3 linked regions of the Coturnix japonica genome follow. The protein of the gene in region 3 binds, or shares a complex with, the protein of the main gene of each other region. Links are inferred from orthologs where the notes say so. Each region holds a gene or a part of one and is shown on either strand. Other genes may lie near its edges. The genes, in order: KPNA4, NFKBIA and NFKB1.

Region 1 (10,294 bases), on a different chromosome or scaffold from region 3:
AGGTGGCCATGGGCTGGCAGACCCAGCAGCTCCAGCTGCCCAAGGCCTCACTGCCTCGGGGTGAAGAACTGCTGCTCAACATCCAACCCAGATCCCTCCTGTCTGAGTTTGTCCTACAGGGGAAAGGCTGCTGCTAACCAAGAGCGAGACGGGCTGCGTAGTTTCAAAAGAGTGGGAAATTGCATTGCTGGGAAGCCAACCGTAAAGGGAAATGAAACTATAAGGGTTTGTTAAAAGCCATATAGTCACAACTAACAGTGTTATGACTTCGGTGGTAGCAAACCCTCATTCAGAACAAGCACATATCACACGTGTAACAGAAACGGGGAGAAAAGGGTGGAATTAAAGCAGATAGTCCAAGCAAAAAAAGTCTTGGGCACAACTTTTACAAGGTTTCTTTACCTGGAAAAATAAATAAATAAATCAAAAGAAGTCACCTGTACTGCTCAGGCTTCCAAACACTGTGAACCCATCAGCACCAATGGAAAAGGAAAAGGATCCTCCTCCAGAAAATAAAACCAACAGAACAAAAACCCCAAACAAAACCAACAGGAAGCTGCAGGGCTGGCAGCCTGAGTTCCTCTCTGCTTCTGAAAGGACCCGACTGCCATGGACCTGCACAAGCCTCTGCACAAACAAAGCACCACTTAAGTCACTCTTAAGAGCAGTTCAAAGCAGGGCTCCCTGCAGTCACTTTCTATGCAAACAGTGCCGGGCTGATGAAGCTGCTGTTGGTTCAGCCCGTCACTGCTCTGCCTTCCAGGAAAGGAAAATACACAAGGAGGAAGAGATGAAGCGGAGGAGTTGCACGGTACTATTATCACTGCTGGAAATGGAATGGGCTGCTCTGAAAAACCCAAATAGCAACAACACTTGGGATAAACTTGTGTTGTTTGTCAGAAATCATCGCCAAGAGAAGAAATCAAGACACACCACTTCCTTGGCAGATGGCACCATACAGCTGCATTCTCCAGTGTCACCTTCGGCTCTGGAGAAGATCTGATGTGATTGTGGAGCTGTTCTGAAGCCGTCTCACCTTGCACTAACGCAGCCATTAGCAAACCAGCTCCGTTTACAAGTTTCTAGAAACAGATTTCTGAACGCTCCTTCCTTGGCAACTGCTCCACGGCATCACTTCAGGATGAATTCATCTGGCTCCTTCAGTCACTTCATTCTGCTCTACATCAGAAATCAAGTAATCAAATCTATTTTCATCAACCTACCGCTGCTACCCCTTTTTTCAGTATATTTAGCTCCGAACATTTTTATCATAAAGGCCGTTTTCTGACCATTCATCACTCCTGAGTCCTTCAGCCTATCAGTACGATCTTCTATGAGCTGCAGGATGCCAATATGTTCATGTTTGCAATGCCCAATACAGAAGTTTTAGGCCCCACGCTCAGGGACAGCTCAGTCCCATCAGCCCAGCAGCCCCAATACCCAGAGCTAACACACCTCAGGCCCCTTGCACTTCTTTCTCCAGTCCATATTTCTCAAGAACTTGACCCTCCCATGGAGCAGCACATCTTCATTCTCTCCTGTGCACACTTTAGGACTGGATTGCTGTCATGAAATATTTCACTTCAGCAGCTACTTGTGCACCTACGACAGCCTGACAGCATACAAACAATGGTAGAACTTCACCTACTTCTCCCACTGCAGTAAATGCCCTGCCAAAGGCAGTTTAAAGCAGAGCTGCTTCTCTACACTATCACAAGCCTGGACTGCAAATAAAAACACAGCACCCACAGGTGAGCAGGGGAAGGGGGCACTACCAGGGACCTCCATGCCCCGCTGCTCAGGAAGCAGCCCAGAGCAGATGAGGAGGCTGCTCCATTCCCACAGCAATGGCAAAGGAGCCTCACAGGTATAAAAGAATCACAGAATGGCCTGGGTTGCAAAGGCCCACAGTGCTCATCCAGTTCCAACCCCCTGCTGTGTGCAGGTCACCAACCAGCAGCCCAGGCTGCCCAGAGCCACATCCAGCCTGGCCTTGAATGCCTGCAGGGATGGGGCATCCACAGCCTCCTTGGGCAACCTGTTCCAGTGCATCACCACCCTCTGGGGGAAAAACTTCCTCCTAAGAAGGCACTGAACTCCAAAGGTAAGGATGTGCTCTGGAGCTGTATGTATCTCACATTTGAACTTGTTAAAAATCCAAAGCAGTGACTCGGGCCCTCCTTTACCCATTATTTCCCTCCTATACTAATTCTGATTCACCTGCAGACTGCAGCACTAAATCCTGCCCTCAACATCACCCATAAAAATGCTGCAGAGTTTTAAAGTAAACCATCCCCACAAGGTCCCACCAGAAAAACACATCTCAGCTCTTTCCGCTTTAGAGTTACAATGGGAACTCTCAGTGCAAAGGAATAAAAGTAATAAACAGATAAAAAGCAATGACACTGCACACGCAGCCATTCCGGCTTTGTCCTGCAGAAGCTGTGTACTCCAACTGCAATGCTTTATACAAACAAGTAACTCAGTACGATTCTTTTAAACAACAAAGCGTCTGAGCTTCCTCACAGAACTGCAAGTCAGCGTAACGGGGCCTATTTTTAACCAGCTCCCAGGGAGCGAGATTCCTGCTCTCCTTCAGTCCCCCATAGGAATCTCACACAAACCCCCTTGTGCGGGTTATGGAAGAGGCACAAGAGGCTCCAGCTACCTGTGAATCTCAGGGTGCTCCTTTCAATGCTCTGAAGCTTCCTTGGTGTTCCCAAATACACCCTTAGTGTCACAAGCCCAGTGACCTCCACTGGCAACTGATACAAGTCCTGACAACAGCAGATGGGAAAACATTCAGACCCAATGGCCACTCCGTGTTTGTTTCCAATTAAGTACCCGCATCACACCAGCAGCAGTTTTTACCACGCTCCTCTCGCTCACAGAACAGGAACGTCTGACACTTGTTCTGTGTTGGCACTATTAAAGCAGTTCTCAATAACATACAGGCAAGGCAGGGAAGAAAAGGTGGACAAACCAAAGGTGGACAAACCCACCGTCTGCCTCCAGCACTTCCAGAGATAACCTGCATAACATACATCTTGGATGTCATTTCACAATAACCTACATGCCAATCAGACTTGAAGGCTGCAGCATGCACTGATTAACTCAAAATAAGACACAGCACCTGAGGAAACAAGGCACCCAAAGCTCCTTTCCAGCAGCACGGCTGCACTCCACAGCTCTTGGAGCAGCACCCAGCAATTACTGCAAACCAACCCATTCACAAACCTGCGCCTGCTGCAGACACCAGGAACAGCTTTCACTTATCCTTTGTATAGCAAAGACTTAAGATTTGATTCTGAGGCGTTTGTACAACAAATGCTGGAAAATAAAACAACTCATCCTCTTTTATGCAAGGGAAAAGAATAAAATGAAGGCCAAGCAAAACCTGTTTCTCATTGAAGAAGTGTGGAAAAAAAGTCAAAGCTACCATAGCTGACTTTCCAAGTAATTACCAAGTGCACAACTCGCTAAGCACTCACTGAAGTATGGATGGGGTTTTTGATGTAAGTGGCTGCTCCTGTAGCTCTGTAAGGCCACCTCCTCCAAGCCACTAAAGTGCAATTCCTCCTTTCTGGTGCTGACACTCCAGCCCTAGAAGAGCTGCACAGCTCCATGTGTGTGTAAGTTGCAATGTTCACTGCTACAGAGCTCCTGCCTGCGTGCTGGCTGCAGACTGATCTCTCCTGCCACAGGACCCTCAGATACCGAGTATCATCAGCCTTCTACGATTCCTTTATCCAGCACTACAAATAAAAGGCAGAACAAGCAAACATTTTGTGTTCCTGCTCACAATGAACCCCTCTATTCCTACTGTTGTCACCCATCTGTCATTTTAAAACACGTGGCGGCAATTGTTTACAATGTAACATGCCCGTGCACGCATGTTTACCCAATACTTCAGTGCATGAAGGAATTATGCTAAATATCATTATGTAAAAGGCGTCTTTTTGTTTTCCTTTCTTCAAGGGCAGCCCTTGTGCCTTCAGAAGCCCACTGAGAAAGCCTGGAAAGTGAAAATAAAACCAGTGTGAAGAATCCAAAGAGTCAAACACACACTCAGCAGCTCTGAAAACGCTGGAAATCCCCCGTGATCTGCAAGGCACAATCACCTCCCTGCAGCTGGAAGCTGAACACACAGACAGCATCAGCTCCTATTCAACACCTCGCCATGCTCAGCCCAGTGACTATAAGCAAAAACCTTCTTTTCTTTTCAAGTCTGCACTTTGCATCTACCCCCAGAGCTGCCCAGTAACTCGGCATCCCCCAAAATAATACCCAGCATAACTGGTGGTTTGTTTGGTACAGCAAATGGAGGCAAACAGTCATAGAAAAGAAAGATCCCGAGTGCTGAGTATAAAACCGATGGGTAAAAGCACGGTTTGAGCAGAGGTTAAATGGGGGAGGAGTGAAGGAGGCAAGATGAGGGGAAGAGATAACGATCAAACACTGGCTGCCAGTGTGAAGTAAATAGACATTTTCCAGCTAAAGCCGGGCAGGAACACACGTGCCATGAACCGGCTGAATAGCAACTGTTGCTACCACAGGATACTGAGCTGTGAGAGGGCCTGGCAATACCTCACCTCTAACGCAAAACACAGCGTGTAAGCAGGGAGAAAATCAGAATCAGAGCTGGGAGCCTGAGCTATTGTGTGAAAAATAACCATCCACAGCGGTTATTTTAGGCAGCAAACGTAAGTTCCAAGAGTCGTTGGGTAGATGTCAGTATCTCAAATTTAACACGGCCTGGGAGTGCTGCTTTCACTGCGCAGGACACTGAAACGCATCAGCAAATTCAGAGAAGGACCAGAGATTGTCTGCTCCTTCATTCACAAACACCTGCAATAACACACACTGGGCGTGATGCTCCTGAGCACGGAGCTGACTTGCCTCAACCCCCAGCATGGAGGCACCAAAGGACAGAAAACCCCAATGAATTCCTGTGTTGTTTTTATCCCCCCCGCTGCTGCTTTCATTTTAATGTTAGCATAGATTTCCCTGAGTGTCCTCCCAAACTTTCACTCCTTTTGCAGTTTTTTATTCAGCAATAAAAAAACATTCATACACAAAAAAATACCTGAGGCAGGAGTTACCAACAGAGCCAAGGAGCCATGGACACATCTTTGTTTACCAACAGCGCAGTCACTGTGGCAATTGTTCCCATTTCTACCTCTTTTTGGCACCACTGGATGTTGTAACTCCATAATAAACTGCCTGATCCAACAGGAGCCAGTGATACCTCGAGTGGGAAACACGGGTGATGCTTTCGCAAGTGACAGCGATATAAATGCAGCCTTTACTTTTCATGTGGATGAACGGGGCACTCAGCAATGCACAAGAAGGCCCAGGATGTCATGTCACTGTAACCATAGGGACACGCAGCGGGGCCAAACATCAAGAGAATGTGAAGGCCAGAGCCCTGAGCTCAACCACGGCCTCACACTGCCATCAGCACACAGAGCCTCCCCCAGGGCCGGGAGTGATGGGCGAGACTGATACCGAGCACCAGGATCTGCATATCTGCTGCAGAAAACCCCATTAATTCAGTCCCGGAGCAGCACACACAGGGATGGAGGAACCCACCCACAAGTTCAGCACGGCACGCTGATCCCACGACTGCTTCCACACAGCGCTACGAGAGCGATATGTGCCCCGGATAGGGAAAGAAACAACAAGAAGTGATTTAAAACGACGTTTGGTACAAAGCGGAGCCGAGGAGCCGCTTTCTCCGCGGGCCCGGCCCTGACTCATGTTTTCCATGGCCGAGATGAGCCGCGGGGCCTCAGCGCCGCCTGGTCGCGCAGCGCCCGCAGGGACCCGGCCCGGCCCGGCGCGTTCATGGAGCCCCGCGCTGCCCCTCAGCGCCTCCACCCCCAGCGGAGCCCAACGGCCGCACCCGAGCGCGCAGCGCGGCCTCTCCCTTCCCTTCCCTTCCTTTCCCTTCCCTTCCTCTCCCTTCCCTTCCCTTCCGTTCCGTTCCCTTCCCCTTCCTCCCGGCCCTCCCTCGCCGTGCGGGCGGTGCAGGCCAAGGCCCCAACGCGGGCCCCTCGGCGGCGGATTAGGAAAGACGCCACACGGCGGCCCCCTCTCCCTCCCTCCCTCCTTCTCTCCCTCCGTCCCTCCCGCCGCCATGGCCGGGCGGCCCCTCCCGCCGGGCGGTACCTCCAGGTCACGGCCTTTGTTCTTGAAGTTCTTCAGCCGCTGGTTGTCCAGTTTCTCGTTGTCGGCCATGGCGGGGGGGAAGGTGGGAGGGAGCGCGGCTGCTCCTCCGCCTCCTCCTCCTCCTCCTTTCTCTCCTCCCGGACCCGTGGCCCTGTAGCTCCGACCCACCGCGGGCCGCTCTCGGCAGCGGCCGAAGGGGCCGTAGGAGCCGTGCGGGCCGTGGGCGCTGCCGGGGCCGTGCGGGCTGTGCGCGCTGTGCGGGCTGCGGGCGGCGCTGCCGCTGCCGGGCGCCGAACGAGCCGGAGCCGGGGACGGGCAGAGCGGGGGGAGGGGAGACACACAGCCTCGCTCTGGGCCGCACGGCACAGCGCGACCATTGGACGAGCAGCCCGCGGCAGGCGGCCAATGGGAGCGAGGAGGGAGAGGGCGGGAGCTGAGCGGCGCCGTGACGTGTGAGGTGACGGGGAGGGGGGGGAGGGGACGGAGCCCTTCCAGGAGCTTCGGAGCCGCCATCTTGAGCGGAGCCACGGGGCGGGGGGGGCTGGTATCGCTGTTTAATCGCAATGAAACCACCCAGAGCTTGTAGTAATACACTGTGTGTTAGCTCCTTGTGGCCTGCCAGGATAATAATAATTAATATTAATGACAAAAATATTAGCTCTGTGCTGCACAAAGTGTTGGCAGTTGGAGAAAGTCTTCCCTGAATTTGTATTGTAGCAGCAAAGAAACACAACTTGAACTAATAATGAAAGTTAGAAAGTTACTGCTCAGGGTAGTGCCTGGTATATTCAGTCTCCATAAATATATCAGCATATCTCATCTTACCAATATGTAAACCATCTTTTGTTGTTTTACCAATATATAAACCATCTTTTGTTGTTTTACCAATATATAAACCATCTTTTGTTGTTTTACCAATATATAAACNTTTTGTTGTTTTACCAATATATAAACCATCTTTTGTTGTTTTACCAATATATAAACCATCTTTTGTTGTTTTACCAATATATAAACCATCTTTTGAAGCTACAGCTGTAACTCCTGCGCGTTGCAGTCTGGTATACAAGGAAGATATTTTCTTTACGTGTCTATATGGGATATTGATAACCACAGCCTGATCCTCTGATCAATGAGCTGAGCCAAGTGTCGGGTCAGCTGTGGGAGCACAGGTGAGAGACATGTAGCTGTGCTCCTGGAAGGGATGGAGCTTGAAGAGAATCCAGGAAGGAACACCTAAAAACAAAAGTTTAACAGCTTAAGTATTATTTTAAGTGAAAACTAGAGGTGAAGCACTGTGAATTTTGACTGATTAATCTGTGCAGTTAACATTTTACTCCTGCTGAGGAAGTTACGTGCAGACAGAAGGAAATAAAGGCTTTTCAAAAGTGAAACTGCTTTGGAGCTTGGCAAAATAGTTAAAGTACAGATATTGAAGAGTTGCTGTAACAGAATGACATGAAATCATTGGTCTCAGAGGCTGTTTGGTGCCTTACAGAACTATCGTGAACGTGCTGGTTAGTTGTAATGTCCTTCCATGGAGGAACAGCTGCTGAGTCCCAGGGAAGGACTTTTGCAGAGTGGTTTCTATAAAGTTGCATCCTCAAAGTGTTTTCTCTGTGAACCAGGACATTAATGCACAATTGAGGCTCCGTCTCTGTAGAATGTGGTCACTAATAATGAAACTGGGCTCTGTTCCCCTGGTTTCTGATCATGCCTTAAGATGACAAGCAGTCAGGCTATGAAGGTGAGGAACACACAGCGTCTAAGGGCTGACCCAGAAGTTTATGAAAGGGAAGAAAAGTTTTATCCCCTAGTTACCATTTCCTTGTCTTTACTAACCTAAACAGGCCGACTTACCACCTCTGCCACCTCCCACTGTCCCCACACTGAGCACTGACTGATTACACAGCATGTAGTTTGGGAAGGATGGAATTGGAAAGCCAGAGCATTCTCTAGTGACCAAAACTGACTCAATGCCCCAACAAGTAACAATGACCTTTCCATTAAATCATCTCTCTTAGCACTACCTCTCGGTTCTTGGAAAAAGACTGACCGAAAGGAGGAACTGAACAACAGCCGTGTCATCTCATGAGTAACCACTTGAAAACAGCTGAGAATCACTCGGCATTCCTTGGAGAACCTTCCTTCAAATCGACACCTGCCTTGCGACCACAGATCTAACAGACCATTCTGGCATGCGTAGTTTTCTCACCATGTACCTTCATATAAAATTCAAGAGCATGCTTCACTGTTATTAAATTATGTATGTTCGGAGGAAGACTACCCTTCAGCAGCCTTTGATCCGTATTTCTCATCTGGTATCATCTGAAGAATAATTTACTGTCTGTCTTAAGTGAAGACATAATCAGAGATTAATCAAGTGCATTTTGTTTAACTGCAGCCTAATTAATCTGTTTAGCTCTCAGAGGAACAATTACCAACTTATTTTTGTATTGGTTTGATTTTACCTCGGATCTGCCTTGCAAATCTCCCAGCACGTGGAAGGCTTGTTTTGAGGAACAGTTCTGAGCTCCTGATCTCGTGACGTTGGTCTGGTGGTTTCCTTTAACAAAAAGCAGAAATTTTGGTTCATTTGAGTAAAATGAGTTGCTGGAAATGGCTTACCATGGCCAGTAAAGCTATTTCTGTAGTGTAAGGAACAAAACATTACGTAAAGCTGAGAAGATTTGTTTCGTACGTAGAAAAATGTTCATTAATCCTTGGGCTTATGTGCCTTTTCAGGCTCAAAATGGAATAGTATTAACGAAAAAGTAGATATTAGTCTGCTGGTCGGGTGTTTTCTGATAATCTTTTACTTGGTGTGCAAACACAGCTATATATGCTTTTATTTTACAGGCAGCATTTCCAAGTCTGGAATCCAACTGTGCTTGCTGGACATTAAAACAGCCATTACCAAGTAATACCTGAACTCGAACTGGGATCAGCTGTGAATGCTGCTCCAGTTGAGAAAGACATTAAAAAATAGTTGATAACGCAGAACTGGGCTTCACAAAATGGGCTTCATTTTGAAATGGACATCATTACAAAAGAACTCACTGCGTAAGATTGAAGAGGACCCGTTCAAGTAAAACACCGCAGTTTGCTCAGGCCCCATGAAGCAGCTCAGGCTCTTTTGCACTTGTTCTCACTTCTCCCCAGAGTGCTCTGTTGTAGCTCCTTAACATCAAAAGCTTTTCTGGAGGGAGATGGAGGTGCTGACAGACCTTTTTCTGCTGAAGCAGAGGGCAGGTGGAGGCGTAACGGTGCCAGAAACAAGGCAGCACACAGCCCTTAGTGTGAGCCTGTGCAGACCCTACACCACAGCACTGGGCTGTGAGCAGCACACGCTGTGCTTGTATTTCTGGCCTCCCCTCTGAACTAACAGCCCCAGGTTGCTTCAGGGGAACTAATTCAAAGTTGTGCTTTTGCAAAAGACAGTATGACTTTTAAATCTAAGAGAAAAGTTGATTTCTACTCTATGAGTGCTGCTGTTACGTATGACAGACTGTGCACTGAAGAAACACCTGGGGTGGATGCATGTCATCCCTTTTGAGCTAGAAATACATGAATGCTGCTGCCTTAAATAAATGACTCAGTCCAAAACAAAGTACAGCCTTCTGCCTTGATTCTCTCCTCACTTTTTCACAGTGAAATTTAAACAATCTTTAAATTGTTACTCAGCTGTTTAAAGTTGCTTTTTGTTAGAAGCTGCCCAAAGGCCTTTGCATGACAGCAGTGAAATATGCAGACCACGAACTCTTGACTATACACAACATGTAGTGCAGTAATCTCATGTTTTGAAATGTAACCACCCTTGACAAGTGTCTGTGTTCATCTCAGGCCTTGCAGTTACCCCTAGGAAGGCAACACAGTGCTGCTCTGCAGCCAGGGCTGGGGGAGAAATGATTTACCCTGCATTGAAAGATAATCCAGCCCATGCAGTCAATGCCAGGTGCTGCTACAGTGCATGAGCAGAAATAACGTTTAGGGAACTTTCTGAGGTTGTAACAGCTCTCATATCTTTGGGCTAAATTCACTCTCACGTGGGGGCCATTCTCTCATGCCATGGGATGCTTCTGTCACATCCAAAAGCTGTGGGTGTCCCCTTTATTTTTCTGTTTCC
Region 2 (10,027 bases), on a different chromosome or scaffold from region 3:
CAGAAGAGGGGAGGACAAAGGTGCTGAGGAGGTGGTCTAATGGAGAGAACTGACACATACCTAACAGTAGGTGTGAAAATGTGAAGAAAAAATACCAAGGGAATTCCTAAGGAATCAGAGAAATGTATTGCTGTGTGCTTGTCCTGGCTCTGAAGAACAGCAGGAATGAGGGACCTTGTGGTGGGAAGTCCCCAGCAGCTCTAGGGAAGCAGTGTCCATGATGTGAAGGCAGCAGAGATTGCATTCTTAGGAGGAAATAGGGTTGTGATACCACGGGATAAACTGGAAGGACAATATGCTATGAGGATCAGTCTGTAGTCAGGGGCTTTTCAAGGGAAGTTATCTGATTGCTTCCTCATGCAACTCATAGGTGGACTGGGGGCAATCCTGTCACAAGATGCTGCTGATGTTGGAGATGTGCAGCAACTTCAGAAGTTAACAGGTTCTGTGGAATAAAAGCCCATGAAGAACCATCTCTCAGAAAGAGGCCACTTTGATCTCTGTCAATCTTCAAACCGCAGGTTGCTGAAGTTAGGAGACTCAGTATTGCTAGATAGTTGCAGTCTTTGTATGCTTTTCTGTAGCGCGTGTTCCTGGCCATTGCCACAGTCAGGAAACTGAAACTAAACTGAATGGGACCCTGATCTGTATTTGGAATGGATACTTTTGAACTCTTTAAAGGTTGCTGAGCCTCATAGTGCCCTATTCAAGACGTTCAAGGTGCAGGAAGGAAGTTTTGGGCCTATGTGAAGAAGCATTGGCAGGAGGGAACAGACAAGCAAGAGCAAGCTGAGTTGTTCTGCTAAAAGCAGCCATGCTGGCAGAATTAATGAATGCCCAAGGATCTTCCTTTCCTGGTCTCACTAATGAGATGTGTCTACAGGAGTGCCAGGAAGGAAGCAGAAAGTTACCAACAAAACCAGTCTCAAAAGATCTTTCCAAATGCATAGGTACGGAAAAGAGACAGTGCAGATAAGCAGTGGCCAAGGGCAAGTGTCAAAATTTGCTTTCTTGAGAGGTAGGGAGTAACTTATAATGGATGATCTTTGCTTCTGTTATAGCATAAGCGAGTTCCATCATCAAGTGCAAAAACAAAACACTGCACTAGCAATGTACCCTGTGGAGTGGTTGCAAATACAAAACATGCCCAAAGCTAGTTTGTGAACAAAAACTATTCTCACATTACTCTGTCCTATTTGCTTTAACTGCATTTCCTGCATTTTCACTACTTGGTTACTTTTGCATGACTGATGAAGGCAAACAGCATAACATGTACCTTGGCAGTGATTTGGTTAGATGCAGAACTTACTTCCTTGTACAGCTGTACAGCATTTGCTTCATTTATTAAGTCATTATAGAACTCTTATGACGTTATAACAGCACCTGCCTAAGGTATTGTTTGTCTGGATGTTGCACTGGGTGCCAGGGAACATACAACTGCCTCTGAACGTACTCAACCAGCCCGATACTCCTGATAACTACACTTTCCTCCCACACTCCAGCCTTTGAGTAAAAAATATTTGTATTCAGATGGTATCTCCTTAAATATTTGTATACCAGGTCTGGCCATGTACCTCAGCACTTCCAGCACACTGGTATCTGTATGTGGTGAATGCTACCAAAGGACCCTTACATAATTTCAAGTCCATGTTTTGTCAATGGGAAACTGGGACATAGCTCAATGTTGGAACCTCTTCTACTTTCAGCTGTTGCAGTGTGGTGCTTAACTAGGAAAGGCTGAAAGTCATCTGGGATTCTTTGCTGGTAAAAACCCTGCAGTAGGTGGATAAACCCCCACCACTTCATCTGAATATCAGATTTAATGGGTGCTACAACTGCAGGAGTGCAGGGTGAGGCCCAAAGCCCCAGAAAAAAGACTATTGCCCAGACCCAATCCTGAAAAATGTTGCAGGCCTGAACTTCAGGAATGGCCCTTTCTACAAGAAGGAAGTTCCAGTGCATACACCTGGGCAATTCTAATGATATGAGAGTGGAGGGGAAATACAAATGACTCAGGATGACAATTTCTGTACAGTCACTTCCACAACAACCTTTGGCTCCCATGCAAATTAAGAAGCACCTAGGCAGATGCAGCGCTCTTCCTCGTACCAAACAGCCCTTTCCACAGGTTGTATCAGAAATCCCTTACGAGAGAGGAAATGGGTCCCCATGTGCAACCTGGAGCCATTGTCACCCACACTGGATTTTGAGCCTTGACTGTCAGCTGCACAAAAGTCCTCCAGTGAGTGCTCCTGGCAGAGCTCTGTCCTGCGTCAGCAGCTCTGACACACCCCATCCTGATCCCAAGGTTGTGGTACAGGTGAAATGCAGCCCAAAAGCTGGTCATGGTCATGCTTCACTCAGCTGAGCAATCACTGTTATGTTTCTCACATGCTGTTCTAGTATCTGCATCTAAAGTTAGGCCTTCTCTGCACCACACTGCCAAAAGGCGATCAGATGCAGATGGGAGTTTGAGCAGAAATATTCTATCTGCATGAATTCCTGGGAAAAACATAGAGGAATAACTGAAATGTGTGAAGGGCACTTACTTCATAGCTGCAGGCTGGGCAGGGAGAAATGCAGCTCCCACAGAAGGGAGAAGGGGAGGCCCCTGCTTGCAGCCTGGGGGAAGGCAGCAGTGCTCCTTCCCAGGCATGCACTCCTTCCTGTGGAAATCCCCTTTGGAAAGTCTGAAGATGTCCAAGTTCAAACCAGAGTCAGGCCGTGATAAACGAGAGGGTAGGCAAGCACAGGACTGCTCTGAAAATGTCCCTGAGCAAGTCAGTACAAGAGTAGCCAGGTTTAAAGCTACACTCCGCATCCTCACTGCACCCATGGACACCAGGAGCCAGAAAAAGGAAAAACAAAACAGATGCCCCTAAAGCAAGCAGCTCTCATTGAAAATAGACTCAGTCTCTCCATAGCATGCACGACCTGACGCTTGTGAGGCAGAGGGGAATCCCAGCCCCCTGCCCGCCTGCAACAACTGGCACAGGAAGCTACACCTACGTGCGCTGCTAAAATTAGCTGCAGCCGAAGCACTGGAAGCTGAAAGCTGTTTACATGTCCTACGCCTCCTGCCAGTGAACTACCCCAAACGCCCCAACCTCTGACCCTCTATGTCTGCTACATATCAATTATCTCTGAAAAAGCTAACCTCATGGATCCCATGCAGCTCATGTTGAGATGGATAATGAACCGTTTCACAAGCTGGGTACAGAAATCTGCTTTTTTAATAAATACATATCTCACAGGTACCAAAATAATTATAAACAAAAATGTACAGTATTTACATTCTATACAGTTGCTAAAAAGTGTAGCAATTATGACACACATGGTGTGAAACACACAGTTTCCAATGCCCACAGTTAACATCATTGCTACCTTCTTCCCAGCAGCCAGGTCATCTCTCCATGGTCAGACTCCTCCACCTGCTGCACCTCAACCCTGAGCAGCCAGGGTCAGGGAGCAGGGCACAGCAGTGCCTCAACCTAATGCCAACCTCACAGTCTTCAAGCAAACGGGATGTCTGTGCAAGTCTGTCTTGCCACCGAGGGGATGAGCACTCCTCACAGCACTTAGTGTTACAAGGCAGCTCACAAACGCATTTCTGACAACAGTACATTGGATATGCAGTCCGTTATCCTCATGTGGCAGAGAATATTAGGTAATGTGGCTCGTTCTCAGGTGGTGTGCATGTTCACTGATCTCTTAACGATGTTACACATCCCATTCCCGTTACTTAAGCACAGGTCAGAACATGGAACCTGTTAGCATGATGTGCTCCTGGCTGGGCAGTGTAGTATCTCAGCACTTTTTTCTCCTTCGAGTATAGACTTTCCTTTTAAATGAAGAAAGTCAGGCTCTTTTTCCTTTACATATGTACATAGTCACTTTTCACAGAAACCTCTGCTTCAAAATGTCAGCTGTCTTCCTCCAATACAGCAGTCATCATACATAAGCTGGAAGAAAAACAAAGTGCTGTTAATGCCAAACTCCTACTAGGATTATCCCATCTACTCTGGGACAACAGCCAAATTCTGCATGCCCTAACTCCAGTACGTCTGCAACTTCTACACTGAAATGGTTACATTTGCTATTTAACCATCACAAAAACAAATGCTGGGAAGACCAAACCCACCCATTAACTATTTTATCTCATTAAGTTCTGTAGGCATCAGCTCAGAGAAATAATACAGTGTGAAGCTACCCTCTGTTACCCACTGTATTATTTATATTTCACTCCTAAGCTCATTCTGTTTATAACCTTGCCCTAACTGCCACCCTGCCCTAACTGCCACCCCTCTGATGGCTGGCAGTACAACCTTACTTCATGGGCTGTAACCCCCAAAAGTTACATAGGGAAGAGGTCATTCACTGCAGTACCAGCCAAACAACAAAGAGCAGGATGTGACTCTTCTCTTGAAAAGAAGCAAACAGGACTTACTTCATCTTCTGTGAACTCTGGCTCTGATTCACTGCTCTCCTCGTCCTCACTTTCGGGCAGTATCTGCAGGTCAGCTGTGGTCAGCAGCTTCAGCTGCTCCTGTATGCTGGAGTTGTCTCGTCCCCATGTAAGCTGGTATGGGGAGTAGCCTTGGTAGGTCACTTTGTTCACATCTGCCCCGTGTTTCACCAGAAGTGACACCAGGTCTGAGTTCTGCAGGTCTACGGCCAAGTGTAGTGCTGTTCTCCCATTGCATGGCTCCTGTTTGGATACAACATGAGGTATTGCATTAGGGGAGTGAGGCTTAGCACTGTCACACCTGTTGATTCTTCCGACTAGACAGCTCACTTAAATTCATAGCATAAATTACATACCTGAGCATTTACATCTGCTCCTAAGGACAGCAGGTACTCAACAACAGCCAGGTATCCTTGAATAGATGCCAAATGGAGACATGTATGTCCTGGAAGATAAAAACAAAGGCAAAATTTGAGTAAGTCTTACCTAATGCCCCATAACTTGTTTAAAGTCAAGATGATAAGACAGAAGAGTATCTAAGTTAGTAAATCAACCGGGGCAAAACCATGTTTTTCAAAACAGCTTTCCAGCTTCCTGATAACAGGGATAACTGGGTTGGATTTTGGATTGGGTTGGATTTCTTAGGGGATCTATTCTAGGTTTTAACTGTGCCTTACTGTAACAACTTTACCCTCTAAAAAAAAAAAAAAAAAACAACCCACAAAAACATAACTGCTATGAGTACTGCAGAAGCACTCACTAAAAATACTAAATTTAAGGCCCATGAGAGCCAATGACCATGAGCGAGGAGGCCCGCAAGGCTGAACCCACAACATCTTAAGGAAGTCAGATGCTTCTTTGCTTTGGGCCCTCCTCAGCACTCCAATGGGAAGAAGATACTTCTCTTGAGATCTCTGCTAGGGCAGAGCACACGTACCATTGTAATTGGTGGCCTGCAGGACGGCGAGGAGGTGGTGGGGCTGGCAGTGCTGTGTGAGGACGCTGACACAGCGGAGCGAGCCCTGCTGGCAGGCAATGTGGAGCGGGGTGTTCCCACGGAAGTCCCTGACATCCAGGTCACAGCCAGCCTTCAGCAGGTGCTCGGCGATCTCAGGCTGGTCAGTGATCACCGCCAGGTGGAGAGGAGTCTGCAGGCAGGAGGGAACACACGGCTTTGAGTTATGTGACAAGTTTAGCAAAGGTTCAAATACACAAACCCTGCAGTGGCTATTGAGGACTTCTGCCCAAATGCAAGTACTGCAAGTCAGTTCTTAGCGCTTCCTGGCACAGCACACTGCTGCTCTGTAGTCTGGTAGCTATGGTATGGTATGGTAGACTTGGGGCTCTCCAGATATCACATATTCTATCCATATGGAAGGGCATCATTAACATCCCAATGGAGAGGAATGCGATCCATTGCATCGCGTATGAAAAACGCGAGAGGCTGCAGCAGGACAAAGCGCTGCACCCCCACCGCATGGAGTGAGCCAGGTGCTTTCCCCAACGTGGGCTCCGACTTCACATCCATTCAATTACACAGAAACTTCTCCTCGGGAATTCCCCGCGGGCCTTTTGCGGGGGCGGCCCGGCCCGGGGGCGCAGCGTACCTGGCTGAGGTTGTTCTGGAAGTTCAGGAAGGCGCCGTCGCCACCGGCCTGTCGGATCACCTCCAAGCTCAGGGACTTCTCTTCGTGAATGATCGCCAAGTGGAGGAAACTGCACCGAGGAAAAAAGGAAGCGCCCCACGTGAGACCCAAATCCCCCCAGCGGGACGCGGCTGACGCGGCCCCCGGCTCACGGCCGCAGTCATGTGCGGGTTTCGAAAGCCGGGGCTTTCCGCACCGCGGAGCCGCCTCTTCCTGGCTCCGCTCCAGGGACTTTCCGCGCTCCGCTCCGCTCCCCGCCCGGCGCCTCCCCGCCGCCGTCGCGCCCCGGCCCGGCCTCCCGCGGCCCCGACTTACGTGTCGCCGTCCTCGGTGAGCTGCTGGGCCCAGGCGTGCGGCCGGGCGGGCGGCTCGCGGGGCTGCAGGCGGATGTCCTCCAGCTCCCGCACCAGCTGCCTGTACTCCTCCTCCTTCATGGAATCCAGCCCGCTGTCGTGGCGGTCGTCGGGAGGCATCGGCCCGCCCTGCCGCTCCTTGCGGGGCGGCTCGCAGCCCTCCACGGCGGGCGGCTCTGCGGGGCGGTGGGCGCTGAGCATGGCGGCGGGGCTGGAGGGGCGGCGCGGCGCCGCGGCTGCTGCTGCTGGTGGCGGCGTTCCGACACGGACGGGCATCCGCGAGTGAGCGGCGGCGGCGGCGGCGGCGGCGGCGCCTATACAGCCCGGCGAGGGGATTTCTGCGGGGGAGGAGCCGCCGCCGCGGGAATTTCCAGCCACTCGGGCGAGCCCGGTCCTGCTCGGCGCCAGGGGCGGGCCGGGGAGGAACGGGGCCGGCCCAAAGCAGCGCGGCCCGGCCCAGCCCGGCGGAATTCCCTGCCGTGCCTGCGGGGGGGAGGGGGAAGTACTCGCCGTCCCGCTGAGTAACGCGGTGCCTGCGGTACTTCCCTGCGGCGCCCGGCCCGCTGCCCTGCACCGCGGCCCGCCCGGGGCTTCCCCGCCCGGATCGGGGAGAGGGCCTCCCCGAGGAGGCATTAACCAGCGCTCGTCTGACCTGCGTCGGACCGGGGGCATATTTCGGCCGGCTGGTGGCGAAGTGACGCGGTAAAGCCAGTCACTGTCCAGACGGGTGGATGCAGAGGCTCCCGTCGGTACGCTGAGTCCACCCTGCTACACGTGTTCTGTCCTCGTGCCCGTGCTGTCCCAGCAGCACCCACACCTGTCCTATGGGGCTGCCTGTCCTGCACCAGTCCTGGGGGAGGGAAGCAACACACTTCCCTGCAGGGCTGCAGAGAGGAGCTTGTCTGCGCTGACCCCATGTCCCAAAGCCTTGAGGGTGTCACAATGATAATATATATATATATATATGTTTAGAGAGATTCATACAGTCTTGTGCTTGACTTGTGTTAAACTGTCATACTGGCTGCAGGCCTGCAGGTATGGCATCAGCCTTCGTAACAACTCACCTCTCTGCTGTGGAAGATTTTAATCTGTCTCAGTGGCATGGGATGGAATAGGCAGGAAAGTCCTGTTCCACTCTTTGCACACAGTTCTTGCCACGGACTCTACAGAACCCTTCAGAACGTTTGTGCAGATTAAAAAAACAAAACAAAAACCAATCAAACAAAAAACCCCCTTTTCCCCCTTAAAAAGTGTTATATCCTGTCAGCATCCTTATTCCATGTCCATTTTAATTTTTTCCTCTCTGCTTTGTACTGGTGCCCTCCCATCTGCTTGCAATGAAAGCTGGCTGAATGCAGCCTCTCATAAGGATTAAAGTCAGTGTGGGTTTAGTGATGCCGAACTTTTCCCTGGTGAATTTCTCTGCTGCTACTCAGATGTGGGGGATTCCCATTAAGAATTTTTCTTCTCTTGCAGCAATTGCTGGCCTGGCTGACTAACTGCCCGAGATGTGCTCCAGCCACTTTCCCGTGGGATGATGTCTCTCTGCAAGAGGCCCTGGGAGAAAACCCAGAGATGAAAGAGGGAGGAAGATCAGAGAGGGCACGTGGGTTCCCAAAAACAGCTGGTCCTGGTTTCCAGCCCAGCCATACCATTCCTGGCCTTTTTCTCATTATTCATCTCAAGGTCTGGGACAGCCACCGGTGATTTTGGGCAGGTTTAGGAAAGCCAGGCAACTTTTTCTTTTATAGGTTATGGGGTTTTGAAAGTTTTGCAAGCTTCTTGAAAGGGTTTCCCCTTTTTGATGTAAATTGGCAGGGGGAACTTAATTATCAAATGAATCTCCTCCTGCCTGCCTCATGGCAGGGAAGGGAGCTGGGTGCAGACCTGAGCTGAGCAGCCTCCACCAGGGTTCTGCTGGAGCCATGCAGAAATTACACTGCAGAACTTCCCATCCGCACTGCAGCAGCTGGAAACTGAGCTCAGCAAAACAAGTTCTCTGCCTCTGCAAATGACTTCCATCTGCTGTCACAGGCAACCTTAAGCTATTTTTAGAAAGCATTTGCCAGGCTTCATTTTGGAGGCACACGTGCCGAGGTGTACTTGCTTTACGTACGTCTGGGAGCCGTGGTGCTTCAGATGGTTGTAGATGGTGGAAAGGAGATGGAAAAACAATTTCTGGCTGAAAGGTCAGCCCACTTCCTGCTGGCTGCAGTGCCCCAGCCGTGCCCCTGGCAGCAGGGGCTGAGCTTCAGGGCCAGTGGGTGTGCGTCCACGCTGCATGTTCACTGATGCCTGTTTTGTTTTGCTCTAAGAAAGTGATGTCCCAGAGTTAATAGTAGCTCTGACAGTCTCACCACAGGGCCCCAGGCATGGCTGGTGCCCAGGCTGTGAGGCAGCCAAAAGCTCAGCTCAAGGACCAGCCCTGCCCTTGCCCCAGTCCATGTGTGAAGCAGCAGGCAGCCAGTGGATGGCAGGGTGAGCAGGATCTATTAAAACAAATAAAGCTGCTATCTCCTCTGTAACTCCTCTCAGCTAACAATGTTGTTTATGGTATTTGCCCAGGAGGAGGGCATAAGCTTGTTGGAGACAGCGTGACACAAAGGTTTTGAAGCTGTGGGGAGGTCATTGGTGTTGTTTTTATGCTGCTGGGGCACTGTCCTTTTGCTGAAAATTAACTCATTCTATCACTCATTCTGTACAATTTCCCACATAGTCCACAAGCACAAATAAATATGATAGAAAGAAACAAGATCAGCTTTTCAATTTGTAGTTTTGTCCTTTTGGTTGCCTGATGCTCAGATTCTCTGCACAGTTCCTCACGTGAATGCTGCATTCCCCTGGGGCCAGAGCAGCTGTTCTGACCCAGGACAGGTTAGAGTCAATTGCCATGGTCTGTGCCAACCTGAAAGCCTCTATCTTCTTGCATATGCTGGCTCAGTAGTTCTCCTCTGAATGTACTCATTTTGCTCATCTCACAGGAGTGCTTTTCACATTCATCTTCTTGGGACCCAGGGTATTTGCATTTTGTATTTGTGACCATGTTAGGAGTCTTTGCTGCCAGTTTTGTGGTGCTCAGTGAAGGGCTGTGCAGATGCTCTGCAAATGGGTCCTTCTCCTTGTTACACAGACATCACAGTACTGAGGGATACCTGAACAGCACTGTGCCAATGCAAAAGGCTGGGACCATGTGGGTTTGCACCTGGTACCCGAGGACTGGATTTTGCACAAGTCCCCTCTGCACTCAACACCCCATCTGCTGTGCTGCCAAGCTGTGGGGAATATGTTTGGTTTTATTCCAGCCTCTAGCTGGCAAGGCTCAGAAGCAGTATTGCGTGCCTGACTGCTGGAAAAGGGGCAGTAGGATTTTAATCCATTTTTGAAGTACACGAAAGATTCTCATGCTGCTTCCTCAAGGAAACACATTAAACTGCAATTTCCTGATTGCCACACTAATCATGAGAACTGTCTAGTGCCGTCTCTGTGATGCTGTTGATTTACCAGAGTTGGTCCCTCAACTTTGTACTTTTGAGATTGCCCCTGCAGATATCTATTAACTGTTT
Region 3 (9,551 bases):
CCCCTTTAAGAACAGCCTGAAGAGATGCCATGTACACCCACTTCTGAAAGGTGCAAATATTTGTTACATGACTGAACAATGTACTGAGAGGTGTAAGCCGGCACAGTTAGACCAGCATGGAGTTGCTACGGTTGATTCTTTATGAGAAGTTTATGAACCCCAACCATCTGTGTTTGTATAGACTGGGTGGAAGGAAAGGGCAAGTGAAAATACAATGGGAACGTGTATAAAACTGTGAATAAATTCCTTAGTTTATCTTTTGATTCTTAAAACATCTAAGGAGTTTATGTCGGCAAATGTCAGATGCCAACTTAAGGATAAAGGAGCCAGTACTCAGTGCTGTAGTTCAGGGCTACAGTTTAAAATCATCTATTTTTCCTCTTCTGCACCTAGTAAATGTCAACTGAGAAAGCCCTACGTGGTAGGTAAGCAGCTCAGACACAACGTCTGAGGAACTCTGCTATCTATATCTGCTATATCTATCTGCTATTAGCAGTCCAAAGTGAGGAAGGAGAACTAAAAAATGTTTTAAAGGTGCTTGATGCTTGTGTTGTTAGTTTTACCTGTCTCTCCCTTCGCAAAATTGGCAAGCGATGATGAAGGAAAAGCTTCTATTGCATTGTCCTCCTGGTGAGACTGCCTCTGAGAGCTGGATAGTGCTTTCTGAATTACTTCAATAGCCTCTGTGTGATCCATCTGTCTCAAAGCAGCAATCAGCTCCTGAACTGTACCTCCAGAAATCTAAGAGAGAAGACAGCAGATGCTCAGCTTCATCCTGGCTCGCTAAAACCAAAGGGCTGTGCTGTATCACTGGGCAGGACAGCATTCACTGCACAGCTGCATGTTCTTAATAACTTGTTACAGCCACATTACCTTATAGTTATCTAGCAGAGTTTTTGAGGGTGAAGGGCTCAATCCGAAGGCATTATTAAGAATGCCAAGCCCCAGCTTTTCTGCTAGAGTAGCCCAGTTCTTGCTTGGATCAGGTGTTTCCAATAGCTTGTAAAGCTGCTGCTTGGAGCTTTCATTCAGCTCCCTCAGAGGGCCTGGGGAACAGAAAAATACATCTGTTATTTACTCAATCACACACCAGTTCATTTCTAAGCAGAAGCACAGACAAATTTAAAAGTATCTATTTTAGCATCTCTGGTACTTACTAATATATTGCTGTAATATTGGAAATGTACAAACTTGGGCCCTCGTGCCATGCTTCTGAACAGACTCATTCTAAGACCGCAGTGGTAGTGAGTGCCCCTTCTCCCTCCCCACCTCCCTCACAAGCTGCTGCAGTCACGTTCTTCTGCAAACATACTTTGGTGCTCTGCTGTTTGTTCCCAAGGGGATGTTGCCAGCTCATCTTTACAGACTTTACCTTGTGTCAGTAAGTCCTCCGAAACTGCTGCTGCTGCTATGTAGGGTTTGCCATTTAATATGTCATACACCTAAGAGAATATATTCAATTTAGTATTTCGCAAAACCTGGTTATTTGTCCATTATTTTGACAAGTTTTGGTGGTATTGTTTGTTGTACAGCACTAAATCTCTAAATGGGCATTTAAAAAAAAAAAAAAATTACAGAAAACCTGTGCATACCATGAGGGATAAACCTCAGTTCATCTCCCTTAAGCTCTGTCATCTGGCAGTTACTGCCAGGACACAGAAGCAGCCTGTGCAATAAGCGAGGGGCTGTAGCAGAAGTTAAGTGGGGAGTTAGCAGCTGTCTACAGCCAGTAATTTCAAGCAAAGCCTGGGCTAGATTTTCACCTTTTCAGTAGCACTCCCCAGCCGAGCTCCATTTGATCAGAGATGCCAGCTCCTTACATGCTCACATCATGCCAGCTGTGTGTACTTGGATACTGAAGCTCGAACCATGTAATCTAACCAATGTTTGGGTAAGACACAAAAGTCTACTTTCACTACATATCATCCAGTCTGCAGTTCTAAAGACCATGCAGCAGAGAAACTTATTACAGTGTCTCACCCTGACCTTGTAGACCCTGAACAAGCACCTTCAGGCACATGCTGCTCTGTCTGCTGTCCTCTTCCATATTGACAACCCCAATGCAACTACTTAGAAGAAATGCCTGTTCAATCCTGCTCAACAGAAGTCAGCTACTCTGAGGAGCTTTTTTCCAATACTACTTCACTGTTTCTTGTGGCTCAGTAAGTTTGTTTGTGATGCCAGTTTGGGTGCTGTAGAAATTTGTCACCATTTAAATAACTGGATGAAATTAAACGAATTGTCAGTACTAAAAGACAGCAGCCCACGTACCTCCCAGTTGGCTGCCATGTCCAGTGGTGTTGTTCCAGGTACAATCCCTTCATCATCATCATCTTTCACATCTTCTTCAACATCAAAGAGCGGCTCAAAGTTCTCAATGTGAGGATCTGCACCTGGAGAACAAGCGTGCAAGGCATTTCTAAGGAAAGGCTTTTAAGCTGTTTTACATCACGTTGTTGAAAAGCACGGTTTAAACAGCTACGTTAGAAGGTTTACAATTCAAGACTGAGAATACATATTTTAACTCCGAAAATGGTGTTTTTTTCCTAAATAAACTGAAGTGAAATGTCACAACATCCCCATGTATCATCCATTATACAGATGGGGAAGAAAAGACAAGCCGTGTGGTTAGGCCCAAAGAAAGCATCTGATGATATAAACTGACTTCCAGTTCCATTCTTGGCTCACACAGCATGTATGTGACGAAGCACTGGTGCAGGGCTTCCCTTTTGTAGTGTCAGAAAGCAGGAGTGCTATTAAAAGACCAAACACACAGCCAGAGCAGGGGGAGGCTTGGATTTCTGTCTCAATGGAGAAAATCCAGGTATTAAGGGATGAAACACAACTGAAAAAAGCATTGAAATGCACAATCAAAACCAAATTTACTGTCATGATTCAAAACTGCAGAGAAGTGGTCCCAGTTTCTATGCCTGTAAAGCAGTCCAGCCTTATCCCAACTATAAAACTGGGTCTTTTGTCTGCTTCATATTAAAAACTATCTGCAAGTACCCCAAACCTCCAAGATTGCTTGGAAGTATTTTTACTAACACAGTTTTGCTTTGCTTTTTGTAGCCATTAGATGGTGCTAAAGAGTAGCAGAGCCTCTGAAACTAGGACTTCCCAGAGGAGAAACAAACCTTTATGCTTTTAACATCTGGTATCTTTTGCTCATTATGAAGTTCACTGACTGTGTGCAACGCCTTCACCTGAACTGGCACAGTTAAAGAGAACCCTGCAACAAACACTTGACCCAATACCTGCTGCTTTGAGAACTGCTGCCAGCTTCGTAAAGCCCCTTCCAGCTGCTATGTGAAGAGGCGTTGTGCCGTCGTATGTAGTGCTGTCCACATCTGCATCACCCTAAGTATTGAAAGAGAAGAAAAATGCTATTATCTATACAGTACTGTTGCATAGAGACTTGTGTCTGCATGAACCTCACTGCTCTGCAAGCAGCACCATTCCGTGCCTGTTTGCACAAGAATTCCAATTGTCTGAAAAGAATGAATCGGAAAGTGACTACAACTGTTGGCACCAGTAACAGACAGTGGTTGTGCTCTGCAGTGCCACAGCAGGAGGCAGCTGAGTGAACCAGGTAGATACAGCTCAAAAGCCACTTTGCATCCCATAATACTAATCAGATAATAGTTCTATTATCAGATTACCCGCAGCATTTGCCGTGCACTGAGAGCTGCCTTCCTGCTGCCCTTCAGCAGAGCAGACGGGCCGGTAGCACAGCTGTACTCCATACCCAGGGGAGCTACTGCAGGTAGCTGTGGGTGTGCCCAATTAAGTGTGCTGAGATCAAGGTGTGAGAGATGAGACAAATATTTACAGATACACACAGCTATCTCTCTGCACATCTGCACACACATTCCACCGCACCCGATCAGCAACTTGTTCGGGAGTCGTTTCATTGGCTGCTGGGGTTACTCAGTGCAAATTAAGCACGGCGCAGGCAGTCAGGTCAGGGTCACCAACTATATTTCTCAGCTTACAAAAGGTTCATCAGCGGTGCTGAATGACTAATAGCAAATAAATAACATTAGCGATAACTTCGCCATTATGCTGGTTAAAGTAATCGAGTCTATAAAGAGAAACATGACTTCGGTTCCACTGAAGGCTGACATATTGAAAAAGCCTTGAAAATATGTTTCTGGGAAGACCAGGGGAAAAGAACTTCTGCCCTCACCTCGAGCAAAAGGCAGCCTGCCAAGGGGATGTTCTCCTGTTCAACAGCTAAATGCAATGCAGTTCGTCCAGATTTTTGTTCCTGAGCATTGACGTTAACTCCAGCAGCAAGCAGCAGTTTCAGACAGGACAAGCTATTGGCGATCACCACCATGTGAATTGCACTGAGACCTGCACAGAACCATTTGTGTACATTAACACTTGAACAACACAGAAATGTCACAGTGATGACTTCTTAAGCAGCTACAAAATGACTGAGTGTTACTGTATTTATCTGAGCACCTTTGCCTGTCTAAGCACCAAAAATGGTGTTAATTAAAATGTTCTTTGTGCACAAAGTTGGAATTATTTGTGTTACTGATGGGGACTAGAAACCATGCATAAAAAAAACAATCAGCTAATAGCAGGGCTGGAACAGAAGGGAAGAAGGAAGAGCTCACCTTAGAATGTTGTTGAAACATCCTGGAGAGTGACTAATGCTCGTTAAGGTCAGACAGCCCTGGCACCTCAACATTAACTGCAGCGGCTCAAAAAGAGAATCATAAAGCTTTCTATTTATAAATAAGAAGAAGAATAGACCCTCTCTGAGGAACTTAACACAGGTTTTTAATTCACATAATGACATTTTTAGGTCAGGTATTTTACTATCTACACCTAGTGCAAGAGTACTATATTCAAATGACCCGTGCCATTAAATAGTGGGAGAGTTGGGTCTCCATGGGTATTTTATAAGCTTTAAGACTCTGTGGTCCCAAAGTTCCAGAGGTGATACTTGACACAGGTCCAGAAATGCCTTTTGAGGGGATTTCATTCACTAGAGAGGAGGAAATATTTTCAGGTGGAATTTCTTTAACAGTGGTTCTGTAGGGCAGCTCAAGAGGAACGTAGCTCTTGAAATTCTGTGATATTGAAGAAGAAAAAGTTCCAATTCACACTGCAATACGGACATTGTCAACCTCTGTGTTCTGTCTAACCACAAAGCCTGCGCGTCTTTGTTCTCTTAGCTGACTGCAGGTGTGTAAAAGCCAAGGATATAATGCGCAAACCATGGAAAGATGCGACTTCCAAAGTCTGTATCTATGTAGAAAGGCTGGGCTGTCAGAAATGGTGCGGTGCTTGTCTAGGCAGTAAGTAAATGTGAAGTACAGGCACTATTGTTCCATACCTTCACCATTGGAAAGGTCGATCATTGAAGATGCCTTCTTATGCTTGAGGAGCAGACCCAGAATCTTGTCATCTCCTTCAGCAGCAGCTAAATGTAAGACAGAGTTACCGTGGCGATCCAAAAGGTTGACATTTGCTCCAGCCTTCAGCAAGTCTTCTACCACCTCTGCCTGCTTTGTGATTACTGCCAGGTGCAAGGGGGTCTGCAAGGGACAGAAGTGAGCCATGAGAAGATGAGCGGCAACTACACGCCTTTACAGAAATCGGCTGAGCCAATAAAAGCACCTCCTGTGGGGTGCTGCTCCACTTTTAATGCTGGCGCAGGTGAAAAACTTCTGTACATTTTCTTCTGCTGTATAATACAGATAGGGTTTCTACTTAGTGGAAATAAAAGCCACCTCACTGGTGTCAGCAGTCAGACCTGAGGAGGAAGGCAGACATTGCCTGCTCTGTGCACTGGGGGACTAACCTGGCTGTTTGTCATGCAAGGGACTTGGGAAATGAGAATCCCTGTACTCCCAGAGGCAGTAATAACCCTGTTTACAGCTGCCCCCTGCCAAGCTCCTGCCACAGAAGGAGCGCACACACTTTATAGAGCCTGTTCAGCTCCGCCTCCGCAACTGAACCATACTCTAATTTTGCTCCTAAAAGTTCCCAGCCACAGGTTTAGGATCTCCTTATCCTTCAAAACAGCTACATACAAAAAGCAGAAAAAACTCGCAGTTCTGTTTGTCAAAGCTCAGAGTGCACAACGTCATCGAGCTGATACTGTTTGCCTGGTTCCCATCTCTGCACAGACACCCGCAGCACTGAGGCTCTCAGGCTGAGATTTCAGGCTTTTCCAAAGGTTAACTGTATTCTGCATCCTCGTCAGTAAGAAGCTTCACCAATCACAAAGTATACACTGAACAGTGAGGCACTGCAGTGCTTTGGGAAATCCTATTCCTCACAATAAAACAATCTGAAAAACACAGAAGATTCTATCTCCATATCATTATTTTTATATTTACAGATGACTGTAAAAAAGGAACTAATTTCAGCTCTATACAATAAGCTTGTGTTTGTCAGTGGAAACGCCAATGTATTTGCAATTAATTACTTGAATTTATACAACAAAGCATGATTCATCTTTCAGAGTATCTGTGCAGAAGAAAACCTTAGACTCAACCTGCATTTCCTCCCATCACTGGCTTAAGGTTAAAGTGGAAGGTAGAACAGCTGGAGAAGTCTGGTAGTTTGAGATTTATTTCTTGTATGGGGCACAGTTTTACTTCCTGTTTCTGTTAAACAGAGGGCACAGAAATTCAATTCAGAATCTTCTTGCTTTCATCACCTTCCACATTTCGAACTTCCTTTATGCGAACACAAAAACGAAACATGAAAGAGAAGAAAGAAGTCGCAATAAAGCCTCTGAGATTATCTGCACAGAATGAAGCCTTGGCTTTACCGTTTACAGCTTGGTGCTGAACAGAAAGAAATGGCACCAATCTCACAAGTGCTCTGTGTGCCATCCAGCTGGGTGCCTTTAGGACAACGGAATGGTGCGCATGGCTGAAAAGAGCTCCTTGTACTGGCAAGTTTTCACAGCTCTTTTTAAAGCCCATCTAAGTTGCAGCAGAAGAAGCTCAGTCTGTGTTACAGATAAGGAGATAATTGTGCTGGGCTGCTGACAGTTACTTCCCTGCTGGGTAAAAGACGTGCTTTTTTGTGTGCTTTAAATGTTACACTGTGAGCCAAGAAACAAAAGAGAAACCTTGGTGCTCATACAGCGGGCACAAGGACCTTCTAGGCTACAGAAAGACACAGCTGCTACAAGCTTCTTCAGCAACTCAATCATGACCCTGAGTTGTCCTGCATTACAAAGTTTGAAAGATCCCAAAGTCGCCACATCTCTGGTTTAATAATAGAGGAGCCACATAATGAAAATACAAACTGAAGAATTCAGTAGGATTTGGGGCTGTTCTATGATAAACAAATGGAGACATTTCTCTTAACACCAAGGCAGTTAGGAATTAACAGAGGAAAAAGCACACCCTTGTTCTTCCACCTCCTTACAGCATGTCACCGCGTTCTTCTGTCTGTGCAGTTCTAAACCTGTTTGCCTCACTATCTGATCTGGGCTCATTCTGATGAATAGAAGGACAATAGGACAGTAAGGAGTACAGTGTTTGCTGGCTGAATGATCCCCATCAGTTACACCACCACAACATCATACCTGATAAAGGTCGTTTCTCATGTTGATAATGTTGTTATAATTCATATCTGGCATCACTTCCAAGAGGTTTTTAACCAGTTCTCTATGAAGGTGGATAATTGACAAATGCAGGACGCTGAAACAAAATAACAGATCAGCATTGTCACTGTATTCTCAAAGGTATGATACAAAGATGGGGCTGTACATTTGACTATTAGAAGTCATGGCCGACACCTCAAATCGAGTGAGAAGTGAGCTGTGTGTAACCCTTCAGTCACAGAAGGAGATGCAGGATGGTTTCTGCTGGTCCTAACTATGACCTTGCTACTAGTCCAACAAATAAAAGCTTTGTATCACAAAGAAATGTCTCAGAACCTGTTCAAAATACCCAGATCCTTCACTGTTTCTTTTCCTGTTTGGAATTACTCAGCACACTGGCATCTCTTCCTGTCAAAGCCTTCCTCCAGAATTTCCACGGCCTCATCTGCTACCCAGGCAGATTTTCCCTCGGAGGTTCCCCTCTCCCCAGGCTGTAGGTTTTTCTTGTTTCAGTTTTCAAGCAAAATGACTCAGGGCTCAAGACCAGTGACCAACTGACCCAGGATCTGCAACAGTGACCAAAGGTGTCTCACTTGCTAAAGGAAAAACGTGCTGAGGGACATGAGCGACTCTGTGTTTTAATACTCTCTGACTCCATGAGATCAGTACTCTGAATGCAGTAACAGCCAGCACTGCTGTAAGAATACTCTGATCACAGATTAACATTAACATAGGTATCAAAGCCTTCACACAACACACAGGATCTCTACAAAGGTATTTTCATTCCCTGCAGACTGTCCCCATGAAAGATGCGCAAAACTGTTGTCAATAATGTTTTTTAACAGCTTCAGCAAAAAACGCGCAGTCTTTGTCATATGTTTGTAAGGATTACAATGAAAGTTACAGGGAACTGATTCATAAATCTTGGAATTTTGGTTTTCTCTTAAACAGCTCCTGTGACACAGCTGGCAGATGGCTGCCAGAACTTTGGTTTGCTCCATAGCTGCAGAGCGATTTGTATGCACTGCACGCTCACAGTCTAACTCCTTCCCAGGAGAAAAGCAACACAAACTCGAGACTCACACACTTGCAGGTACTTCTTGATCCAGGAAAAATAACTGTCATAGTGATTAAACTACTCTGACTTTGTTGAAATGTCCTTCAAGTCCAAATCTGGGGAACACCACAGTGACGGTTAAATGCAGGTCACTCTTACTGGGACACAGATTAATACTCTCATCATCTTCTGGGGAATTTTTTGCATTAAAAACAAACAAAACCAACAAATACACTTAGAAGCTGTATTGTCCAAAGTGCCAGCAGATTTTACTGCTAGCCCCTACCTCATCCATACACCATTTAACCTCAAAGCTTCATCAGATTGCCAGCTGGAGAGCCAAGGAATCAGTTCTCAGTGATTCTGAGTACTTAGTGCATCAGCACTCTGAGGCCTGCTTCAGTCTCTTGTGATTTTCCATCTGTTTAGAGACCTTAAGTTTTACATGGCTTCTACTGCACAAAAGACTGCAAATAAGGAAACAAGAATGATTGCACAGGGTCTGTCCACAACCCGCCAGCTAAAAAGTGACAATGGGATAATATCACTTGTTTATTCAAGAGAGATCATCCCTGCATGTGCTCAGAATCACTTCCACCAAGCTTGGTTTTAAATAACCACTAATAATCTGTGTCTCACTGTATTTCAGTCTGAGTCCCACGCAATCTGCACAGCACCCTTTGGTATCAGTAGGAGAAAAGCAACAAGGACTCTTAGCTATTATTTCTACTTCGCCCAGTGCATCCAGAACTTAAAATTCCCTATGAAGAATGAAGGACTTGCACAGAACAAAAAGCAGGGCACACTCTGCAGCACAAAGCTGGTCATCTCCATCAGCTGTGTCCCATGGCACAAACGCAGCAATCCATGCTCAGCACTGATCTCCCAGACAGCACGAAGGAGAACGAT

The links.
Region 1: the proteins of NFKB1 (region 3) and KPNA4 are in contact, whole or in part, in a crystal structure (PDB 7LFC), measured with the Homo sapiens proteins. The link is inferred for Coturnix japonica from reciprocal best matches to the Homo sapiens genes NFKB1 and KPNA4. Residues at the interface, in NP_001158884.1 of Homo sapiens: Glu357, Glu358, Val359, Gln360, Arg361, Lys362, Arg363, Gln364, Lys365, Leu366, Met367; in NP_002259.1 of Homo sapiens: Arg96, Lys97, Leu99, Ser100, Ser101, Asp102, Arg103, Pro105, Phe133, Trp137, Thr140, Asn141, Ala143, Ser144, Gly145, Thr146, Ser147, Thr150, Gln176, Trp179, Gly182, Asn183, Gly186, Asp187, Asn219, Trp222, Val225, Asn226, Arg229, His230.
Region 2: the proteins of NFKB1 (region 3) and NFKBIA are in contact, whole or in part, in a crystal structure (PDB 1NFI), measured with the Homo sapiens proteins. The link is inferred for Coturnix japonica from reciprocal best matches to the Homo sapiens genes NFKB1 and NFKBIA. Residues at the interface, in NP_001158884.1 of Homo sapiens: Lys251, Ile252, Val253, Arg254, Met255, Asp256, Arg257, Thr258, Ala259, Pro326, Lys345, Leu348, Tyr350, Ile353; in NP_065390.1 of Homo sapiens: Asn108, Asn109, Leu110, Gln111, Arg140, Tyr181, Pro214, Cys215, Asn216, Arg218, Tyr248, Gln249.

Annotation. Positions count from the first base shown.
Region 1 is NC_029524.1:19,639,524-19,649,817, reverse strand, and holds the start of KPNA4 (importin subunit alpha-3), read right to left. Parts: upstream 6,477-10,294; 5' UTR 6,241-6,476; coding exon 6,172-6,240; intron 1-6,171. UniProt on the Homo sapiens protein: Functions in nuclear protein import as an adapter protein for nuclear receptor KPNB1. Binds specifically and directly to substrates containing either a simple or bipartite NLS motif.
Region 2 is NC_029520.1:32,785,773-32,795,799, forward strand, and holds NFKBIA (NF-kappa-B inhibitor alpha), read right to left. Parts: upstream 6,846-10,027; 5' UTR 6,741-6,845; coding exon 6,427-6,740; intron 6,182-6,426; coding exon 6,073-6,181; intron 5,614-6,072; coding exon 5,403-5,613; intron 4,911-5,402; coding exon 4,822-4,910; intron 4,709-4,821; coding exon 4,448-4,708; intron 3,963-4,447; coding exon 3,915-3,962; 3' UTR 3,212-3,914; downstream 1-3,211. UniProt on the Homo sapiens protein: Inhibits the activity of dimeric NF-kappa-B/REL complexes by trapping REL (RELA/p65 and NFKB1/p50) dimers in the cytoplasm by masking their nuclear localization signals.
Region 3 is NC_029519.1:54,745,363-54,754,913, reverse strand, and holds part of NFKB1 (nuclear factor NF-kappa-B p105 subunit), read right to left. Parts: intron 7,683-9,551; coding exon 7,568-7,682; intron 5,556-7,567; coding exon 5,354-5,555; intron 4,360-5,353; coding exon 4,190-4,359; intron 3,361-4,189; coding exon 3,258-3,360; intron 2,394-3,257; coding exon 2,272-2,393; intron 1,443-2,271; coding exon 1,373-1,442; intron 1,047-1,372; coding exon 874-1,046; intron 742-873; coding exon 564-741; intron 1-563.